2 linked regions of the Saccharomyces cerevisiae S288C genome follow. The protein of the gene in region 1 interacts with the protein of each later gene in a biochemical or structural test. Each region holds a gene or a part of one and is shown in the gene's direction. Other genes may lie near its edges.

The links.
Region 2: the proteins of DUF1 (region 1) and UBP9 form a complex in vitro, tested with the Saccharomyces cerevisiae proteins (one study listed by BioGRID).

The regions. Positions count from the first base shown.
Region 1 is NC_001147.6:154,735-160,187, reverse strand, and holds DUF1 (Duf1p), read left to right. Parts: upstream 1-1,550; coding exon 1,551-4,901; downstream 4,902-5,453. Other genes in the region: alcohol dehydrogenase ADH1, read left to right, coding at 1-640; MHF1 (Mhf1p), read right to left, coding at 743-1,015; protein disulfide isomerase MPD2, read left to right, coding at 5,443-5,453. UniProt on the Saccharomyces cerevisiae protein: Ubiquitin-binding protein involved in the resistance to phenanthroline, sanguinarine, nordihydroguaiaretic acid (NDGA), isopropyl (N-3-chloro-phenyl)-carbamate (IPCPC) and guanosine 5'-O-(2-thiodiphosphate).
Region 2 is NC_001137.3:353,564-358,281, forward strand, and holds UBP9 (putative ubiquitin-specific protease UBP9), read left to right. Parts: upstream 1-1,902; coding exon 1,903-4,167; downstream 4,168-4,718. Other genes in the region: ribose phosphate diphosphokinase subunit PRS2, read right to left, coding at 4,542-4,718.

The DNA.
Region 1 (5,453 bases):
AGCCGCTCACATTCCTCAAGGTACCGACTTGGCCCAAGTCGCCCCCATCTTGTGTGCTGGTATCACCGTCTACAAGGCTTTGAAGTCTGCTAACTTGATGGCCGGTCACTGGGTTGCTATCTCCGGTGCTGCTGGTGGTCTAGGTTCTTTGGCTGTTCAATACGCCAAGGCTATGGGTTACAGAGTCTTGGGTATTGACGGTGGTGAAGGTAAGGAAGAATTATTCAGATCCATCGGTGGTGAAGTCTTCATTGACTTCACTAAGGAAAAGGACATTGTCGGTGCTGTTCTAAAGGCCACTGACGGTGGTGCTCACGGTGTCATCAACGTTTCCGTTTCCGAAGCCGCTATTGAAGCTTCTACCAGATACGTTAGAGCTAACGGTACCACCGTTTTGGTCGGTATGCCAGCTGGTGCCAAGTGTTGTTCTGATGTCTTCAACCAAGTCGTCAAGTCCATCTCTATTGTTGGTTCTTACGTCGGTAACAGAGCTGACACCAGAGAAGCTTTGGACTTCTTCGCCAGAGGTTTGGTCAAGTCTCCAATCAAGGTTGTCGGCTTGTCTACCTTGCCAGAAATTTACGAAAAGATGGAAAAGGGTCAAATCGTTGGTAGATACGTTGTTGACACTTCTAAATAAGCGAATTTCTTATGATTTATGATTTTTATTATTAAATAAGTTATAAAAAAAATAAGTGTATACAAATTTTAAAGTGACTCTTAGGTTTTAAAACGAAAATTCTTATTCTTGAGTAACTCTTTCCTGTAGGTCAGGTTGCTTTCTCAGGTATAGCATGAGGTCGCTCTTATTGACCACACCTCTACCGGCATGCCGAGCAAATGCCTGCAAATCGCTCCCCATTTCACCCAATTGTAGATATGCTAACTCCAGCAATGAGTTGATGAATCTCGGTGTGTATTTTATGTCCTCAGAGGACAACACCTGTTGTAATCGTTCTTCCACACGGATCCACAGCCTAGCCTTCAGTTGGGCTCTATCTTCATCGTCATTCATTGCATCTACTAGCCCCTTACCTGAGCTTCAAGACGTTATATCGCTTTTATGTATCATGATCTTATCTTGAGATATGAATACATAAATATATTTACTCAAGTGTATACGTGCATGCTTTTTTTACGGCAGCATTTTTTTTTCAACTCTGATCGCCCCTTTACTGCTCCCTCCGCCCAAATTCCATTGCAGTTCAAATGTATACTGAAAAAAACCCCATTGCTATTGTTAAACAGTGAACTCTCTTTTTGCCCAATAATAACATTATAACAAGTAACTACCAGCACCATAACACCGTGTCCTATCCTGGTATTAATTACTACTTGAAGAACGACTACATCGCTTTTTGCAACTACAATTAGAACGCTCCGCCCCTTCCTTTTGACGTCGTATAAGTGTAGTTGGATTGCAATTGCATAGATACAGGAATTAGTTCAAGCCATTCCTAACGAGGAAACGATACATTCTAGCAAATCTACGCTTTTCTGACTTTAGAAGAGCAAGCCAATAAAAAGCCGGAGAAAATAGAAAGGTAATAATGAATCAGTTGACAGTGAGTTATGGCCTAATTTCCCCAGATTACTGCACTTCCCAAGATGCGCACATCTTACCGATAACAAAGATTCTGTACCCGGATATACCTGGTAAAAACTATTTTCTTACTTCAGGAAGGGATGGTTCCATAATTTTGCACAAGAACACACAGCTCTCGAACGAGCCTGAGACTGCTGCAACTACCATAAAAAACGATGCGATAAGAATGCAAGTTCATAGCGATTGGGCAAGCGATCTAATACATGTTAATATGAAAAATTCAGACCCATCTGCAGGGGACACATTCATATCAGTAAGTCACGATTTTTCGATAGTATTAATTAGTGTGAATGCGCAGTTAACTACCTGGGATAAGAAAATAATCGGTGACCACGACGATTATATCAAGTGCATAGTGCCCATACATTATGAAATGTCAAATGACTATGAATTGGAAGAACAAGAGGGTGGTCCTGATAATGTACACGATGGAATAAATAATGGCATTGTTGTTGATGAACAGAACAACTTTCTTTTTGTGACAGGTGGTCTAGATAGAAAAATCAAACTTTGGTGCCTGAGCAGCGGGCCAGAAAAAATGGCTACGCTACTACACACATTTGATAATGCACAATCAAACGACACAGGCTCAATATACTCCATGAGTCCCATCATCCCAAAATACAGTTTTGATGACAATCAAACGTCTCGTCCCTTTGATTTTGTTGCCGGAGACTGTAATGGTGATTTGATTTTTTATTCGTGTAAATATCGTAAGGAGGTGATAAGAATTCAAAACGCCCACAGAACAAATATAAAAGTAGTAAGAACTCTTGATGACTCCACACGACTAATCAGTACCAGCTCAGATGGTGTAATAAATGTATGGGACTTGAATTGTAGGCATGATCAGACTACTGGTGCCCTTCAGCTTCCCAAAAAAATTGGATCTTGGTCCTGGGATTCTTCCATATGGTGTGTCCAAGGAACGAGCCTTGATAAGTTGTATTTTGGTGACTCTCAGGGCAATGTTATGAGAGCAAACTTATCCAGTTATGAAGATGCTAAACTTACAAGAATTTTCAAGCCTGATCATCACCACCATCATCATCATCACCATGAACACGAAGAGCAAAATATATCAACTACAGATGCGAAAGTAAAAAAATATGGTGGTATCCTTGATATTGCCCTTTTACCTAATGAAAAATTGTTGTTTTCTTTTTGTACTGACTCAAATCTAAACGTGCTCGATTTAACTAATAACCATTTCAGTGTCAACGAAGGTGGGTTCGCACTGACCAGAAGCTCACTGCTAACCAACAGGAGGCATGTAATAACGGAAAACACTAAAGGCCAAATGCAGAGATGGGATATCGTTTCATGTGAGCTTTTGAATACTTTTGATTCATCAGAAGGTTCATTTGATGATATTGTAATGAAATACACCTCAAAGGAAATTCTATCTCATTGGTGTACTGTTTCCGTTAAGGTCGGTATGCTGTTCGTAAAAATAAACCCAAAATTTCTGAAAACTGAAGTTTATGGATCCGCGCTAAAGGATTATCAGGTTGTGAACAATATTGAAATTAACTCAGATGAGAGATATAATTTGGGTAAAATTGTTATTAATTCGCTTTTCAATGAGTTCATATCATATGAAGTCCAAAAGGATAAACTTTTAAGGAAGAAAATTTTTAGTTTGAAGAAAAAAGACTTAACCAATTCATTAACCTTGGATACGGGATATAACAGTGAATCAAAAAAGAATAATAAAGATAAAAAGAGAAAATCAACCTTCAAAATTAGTTCAACTCTGTCCATTGGAAATACCAACAGCAGTGGAACTCCACCAAATTCGGCACCTGCAACCCCGGTAATGGCAGAGACTATAGTATTAGAAGAACAACCATTGTTGCAGTCAGCTTCTGATAAAGCAATAGATGACTCTTTAGAACTCGTGCAACCATTGCCTGCATCCAAAAAGCCATATTTTAGAACGCAGAGCTCTGGCTCCTTGTTAAGTAGAAAGTTCAAATCATTTAGGTCTACTTCTGGTCGTGCCACAACAGGGTTAAACACTCCAGAGGAGCCCAAAGGAATTCTGCCAGATACTCCGCACGTTATTAATGATGACTCGGCCTTCCCTCAAGCTATCAATACAACTCAGCAGTCTAAGGATGCAACTCCAGAATCTATGTTATGGAATCATCCTTTCAAGCTAGAGCAAAAACTATCCGCTATTTCATCACAAGATTTACCGAGTAACAACACTCATAACAAACTAAGATCATCTGAAAACTCAAGGGCGAATTCCACGTCAACCTTGGAAGGCAACGAAAAGAAGAAGCCTGAGTTCATGCCCGATTTACTGGAGCAAATTCAAGAGTCTTACAAGCAACAATATATGAATACTTCTTCTCTAAAATACCTGACGAAGAGGCTTCCAGTCACCAAGATAATCAAGGCTAGTTCATGTCCAATTATTAGAGTAAAATCTGCCACGTTAGTTTTGGTCCATCTTTGGAAGGAAGGCTCATGTGGTGGCAGGGTATTATTTTCCACCCTATTACCGCCATCTCATGTCGATAATGAAACCGTCAGCGGCGGCAAAGAAAATTCCAAACCGCCAGATGATGAAGAAGTAGACCTTCAAGCTGTAGATGATGACAAATTAGGAAAATATGATCTTATTGATGGCGAGTTAGGAAGCAGACTCAACAGAAGGCAAATTTTTGAGCAATTGGAGGAAAATTTGCCCTACTGGTTTGCAAAAGCTTTATTTAGAGATATTAAGACGGTGGAAGAGCAACCAAAGTTGAACTTCTTAATCATGCCATGGTCTTCTGTTGGTGGGAGTGAGGCAGCTGGCAATGAAAACAAGAAGAAGTTTATTAGTGCATCAGATACCACAGAATCTTCTGGCAACGATAGTAGCGATAGCAGCCTTGGAAATGGTAATGAAGCCGTTTCCCCATCAACACAGCAACAGTTCCATAATATGCTAAAGTTTGGCCGTCCGAAGACCAGCGAGCAGGAGTTAAACCCCACAGATTTACCGAGAATCTCTGAGGCGAATGTCAAGCTGGTTGCGCCTGGAATGATTAGGGTGAAAAAAATTAAACTTTACGTCGCTGACAGATTTGAAACGAAAACTCCTGAAATGAAAGCAAAAATGGAACCTAGTCTTTGGTTGGATCTACTATGTAGGGGCCAAGTGCTTGATAACGATATGACTTTAAATACCGTTAGAACACTTTACTGGAAATCTCAGGGTGACATAGTTCTAGAATACAGAAGAAAAGTACATAATTCACCGCTAGTTCATGAGGTCAACGGGAATGAGGGGAAATGATAATGTTTATTTAAATTATATTTTGGGGTCTGAATTTGGAGTTTTTAAGCGTAAATATATAGTAACAATACCAACAATAATACTAATAATACTATAATAGTAGTTGCAGTAACAATGACAAGATAAAGAATATTCTTCTGAAATGTCTAAAGAACGAAGAAAAAAGCAAGTACTCATTGGAATGCTATGTGTAACAACTCATACATACTCTAGAGCTTTATAATAATTACATAGACATTTTTATAATATTATTTATTTATCAAATTTTATATTGAATAGGTACCATCAAGTTATGCACACATTCTTCATTAAAATACAGTCTGTAAATAATTGTGAATATGGGCGACCTGAATGATGTTCTTATTATCTCAAATATTTCTAATTTTTTTTAATCATTTTTGTTTCTTTAAGAGCAATTAATTTACAGAGCGGGGAACAGTGGCCAATTTTTTGAGCTAAAGAACAGCATAACAACAAAACAACAGAAAAAAAACACAGCGAGTCTAGTGCAAGTACGTCGGCAAAGTAAAACACAAAGGAGATGAAATTGCA
Region 2 (4,718 bases), on another chromosome or scaffold:
GAAATTAATGTGTCTTTTTCATAATATTTACTTTTTGGTGCGGAAATCTGTAATATTTTAAAACAAAATCTCATCCTTTTGAAAAGAAACGATGAAGAAAAAAAATAATAACATACATTGTACCTTCACTAACACTTGTAAAACAAACGCTTACATTATAATGGCACAAATGAGCAATCAGTGTCACTTCTTCCTACATAAGCATAATTCAAGTATCGGGATATAAAGCTATTATATACCGCTTAAGATAAGAGGTATACACCTCATTGATCAAATACGCAACAGCGTCTCCTTTCAGACCTTTGTGGAGTAATTTCTGCGGGTAGGATTGACTATTTTTCAAGATCAATGCCCCCTCACACTAAGACCTGTTTGCTTAGCATCATAAATGAGTTTTTCCATAATTAAATTTCAACCATAGATTAGAATTTCGTTGCGGGATAAAACTCCAGAACCACAACGATTATGCAGCAAATGTAACCTTGAACTAAACTAAGATTTTGTTAGAGCAGGTGGTTTCCGTTACTCAGACAAGAACCTATAGTAGAAATATAAAAGTTTAAGTAAAACTTTCTTGGAATAGGAATCAGCCATCATCTATCAACTAGTGTACTGATATTCATAATACTGGTATACAATCATATACGGTGCGGGAAGATGACATAAAAAATTGAGAAACACTCATCAAATTTAATGGAGGCCGAAATGCAGGGACTCAGATCGTGATAGAATAATAAACGAGAACATATAAAATGGAAGAAAAAAGAATAACAACAATATGTAGATTTATCGATTCTGTTGATAATTAGAGGTAAAAAAATAGTATTAATGAAGAAATAATTACTGATCTTCTTATACTAAATAAGAGAGGTATATAAAACACACGCCGATTGGTCATATTAATCATGACCAATATAATAGTGATTCCGGTAGTTACTATACATTGATGTGACGACTCATATTCCTCATATATGTACCTACCATAACATGTTCAACTAATAGGTGTTTAACACAGCTTCAGTATTGTCTGAGCTTCTCGTTTAACATTCCTTCTGCAATAGGCGCAATCACACTTAAACGTATACGAGGTGTACATTAATATACGATGTAAGCATTAGATTGTTACCATAGCAACTCATGTCACTATTAATTACTCTCGTTCCAACAGATTCTCCTTTTATGGATTCCATATCTCGAGGAGACTTCTAGTATATTCTGTATACGCAATATTATAGCGTTTACGAACAATGAATCCCAACAATTATTTTAAAATTCACCAACATCTCAATATGTGTTTTATGAATATTTTAGGTGGGTATTGTCATACTGACGTATTCCATTTTGAGATGCAACACATACGTGTATTGTAATCCGATATAGTGTAACGGCTATCACATCACGCTTTCACCGTGGAGACCGGGGTTCGACTCCCCGTATCGGAGTACTTTTTTGACATCATACAGTGTATGTATGGGGTTAGGAGCCACCTTCCAACAAAGCATCACGCTGTCGTATCTCAATTGTCCTTCAGCAAAAGAAAAAGCAGTTGGGCTCCTGTACGCCATATATACTTTATATGCGGTTTTTACCCCGGAAATCGCGTTTATTAATGTCAATGCGCGATTTCTATTATGGGTTGAAAAAGTTGCACTTCTGTTCCTTTCCAAACGATATACGCCCCCCCCACAAGAAAACGTTTCTCTTGCATTCAATAAGGTCCATCGAAGCTGTATTTGGAACTTCCGATTTTATTAAACTTCTAGGGGCGAACTCAACCTTTCGCTTGAACAAGCTTGAATGTGTCGAAAACCTTAGCTCGATCCTTAAAAAAGTATTTGCATTATCAGTAATAAACAGAAAATTAAAACATTTACCAAAGGCAACGAGTCTTCCATATGAAAAATGATAAAAAGATGGTTATCTGTGAATAGGAAAAAGTCACACCCGGAGAAGAACACTCAAGGTAATGACGAAATTAATCGGAAAGCAACTAGCCTGAAGAAAACGAAAGGTTCTGGAGATCCCTCCATAGCGAAATCACCAAGTGCTAAGAGTAGTACATCAAGCATACCTTCTAATCTTGCGAGCCATGAAAGAAGAAGCAAGTTTAGTAGTCAAACGGATAACCTTGCAGGAAATAAACATTACCATGAGCATTACCATAATATGGCAAGTACTTCAGATGAAAGAGAGTACGATTCCTCGACTACATATGAAGATCGTGCGTTCGATACAGAGTCCTCCATACTATTTACTACTATTACAGATTTAATGCCATATGGGGATGGTTCCAATAAAGTGTTTGGTTATGAAAATTTTGGGAATACTTGCTACTGCAACTCCGTTCTACAATGCCTTTATAATATCCCCGAATTTAGGTGTAATGTGCTGCGATATCCTGAAAGAGTAGCCGCAGTAAACAGAATACGCAAAAGTGATTTGAAGGGTTCAAAAATAAGGGTATTCACTAATGAAAGTTTTGAAACATCTACTAATAGCGGAAATTCTAATACGGGGTACCAAAGCAATGATAATGAAGATGCACATAACCACCACCACCTTCAGCAGAGTGATCAAGATAACTCCTCTTCTTCTACTCAAGAAAAACAGAATAATTTTGAAAGAAAAAGGAACTCGTTTATGGGTTTTGGAAAAGATAAATCGAACTATAAAGATTCTGCAAAGAAAGATGATAACAATGAGATGGAACGGCCTCAGCCTGTTCACACAGTTGTAATGGCCTCTGATACATTAACAGAGAAGCTTCACGAAGGCTGTAAAAAAATTATTGTGGGAAGACCGCTTTTAAAGCAAAGCGATTCCTTATCAAAAGCTTCAACTACAGATTGTCAAGCAAATTCGCATTGCCAGTGTGATTCACAAGGCAGTAGGATTACATCAGTGGATGATGATGTCCTTGTTAACCCTGAGAGCTGTAACGATGCTGTCAACAATTCTAATAATAATAAAGAGAATACGTTTCCAACAAGTGAACAAAGAAAAAAAGCCGCTTTAATTAGAGGCCCCGTTCTTAACGTAGATCATTTACTTTATCCAACCGAGGAAGCTACACTTTACAATGGACTAAAAGATATATTTGAGTCTATTACTGAAAACTTGTCGCTAACCGGTATCGTTTCACCTACAGAGTTTGTCAAAATTTTAAAAAAAGAAAACGTCTTGTTCAACACTATGATGCAACAAGATGCCCATGAATTTTTAAACTTTTTATTAAATGATTTCAGTGAATATATTCAACGCAATAATCCCAGAATGAGATTCGGACCACAAAAGACAGACAACAGCAACGACAACTTTATAACGGATTTATTCAAAGGTACACTGACGAATAGGATCAAATGTTTAACTTGTGACAATATCACCTCAAGGGACGAACCATTTTTAGACTTTCCAATAGAAGTACAGGGTGATGAAGAGACTGATATCCAGAAGATGTTAAAAAGCTATCATCAGCGTGAGATGTTGAACGGGGTTAACAAATTTTATTGTAACAAATGTTATGGTTTACAAGAAGCAGAACGTATGGTCGGACTGAAGCAACTGCCCCATATTCTGTCATTGCACCTAAAAAGATTCAAGTATTCAGAGGAGCAAAAGTCAAACATCAAACTTTTTAACAAAATACTCTATCCACTAACTTTGGATGTTTCTTCCACTTTTAATACATCAGTATATAAAAAATATGAACTAAGCGGCGTCGTCATCCATATGGGGAGCGGTCCACAGCATGGTCATTACGTATGCATTTGCAGGAACGAAAAGTTTGGGTGGCTTTTGTATGATGACGAAACGGTGGAATCCATAAAAGAAGAAACTGTGTTACAATTCACAGGTCATCCAGGTGATCAAACTACAGCCTACGTTTTATTCTATAAAGAAACACAGGCTGATAAGACCGAAAATCAAAATGAAAATATAGACACTTCTAGTCAAGATCAAATGCAGACTGACAATAACATTGAACAGTTAATAAAATGCGATGATTGGTTAAGGGATCGTAAATTGAGGGCAGCTGCAAATATTGAACGCAAAAAGACCTTGGGGAATATACCTGAAGTTAAGACTGCAGAAACCAAGACGCCATTAAATGATAAAAAACGCAATAAGCAAAAAAGAAAATCGAGAATATTGAGCTTCATCAAATAAATCGGGATTGTTTCGATACATCATATAGTTGAGACCCATCTGTTCTAAAAGTATCAATATTAGTGTACCATTTTTTCTTCCTTTTTTAAATAATTTCCACGTTTCTTTCTATTGTTCCTGATCTTTCGAATTTAGTTGTATTTCACTTCACCTACTGTAATAACTTTTTTTTTTTAGAGCACAATAAAATTTCACATATTTTCCAAAAGCAAGGGCGGTAAATCAGAAAAGATTAAGCTTTAATGAAAATCTCATAGAGACCAGATGAAGAATATTGGTGGCAGCATAAGCGCTAATACTGAATAGATATACGCATTTTTTTTCAAAATATCTGTTAGTACATTTATACAAATATATTCGTTTATACCTCTTCTTTAAACAGGCGCATGTGTAAATAAATATGAGACTGATTCTCCATTATGCAATCTTCTGATAGCTTCTGCAATCGTAGGGCTGATATCCACCTGATCGACAATGTCCAAATCCAAATCAACAGGTACCGTGTTGGTGCAAACAATTCTTGATAACCTACTATTTATTAACTTCTCCCT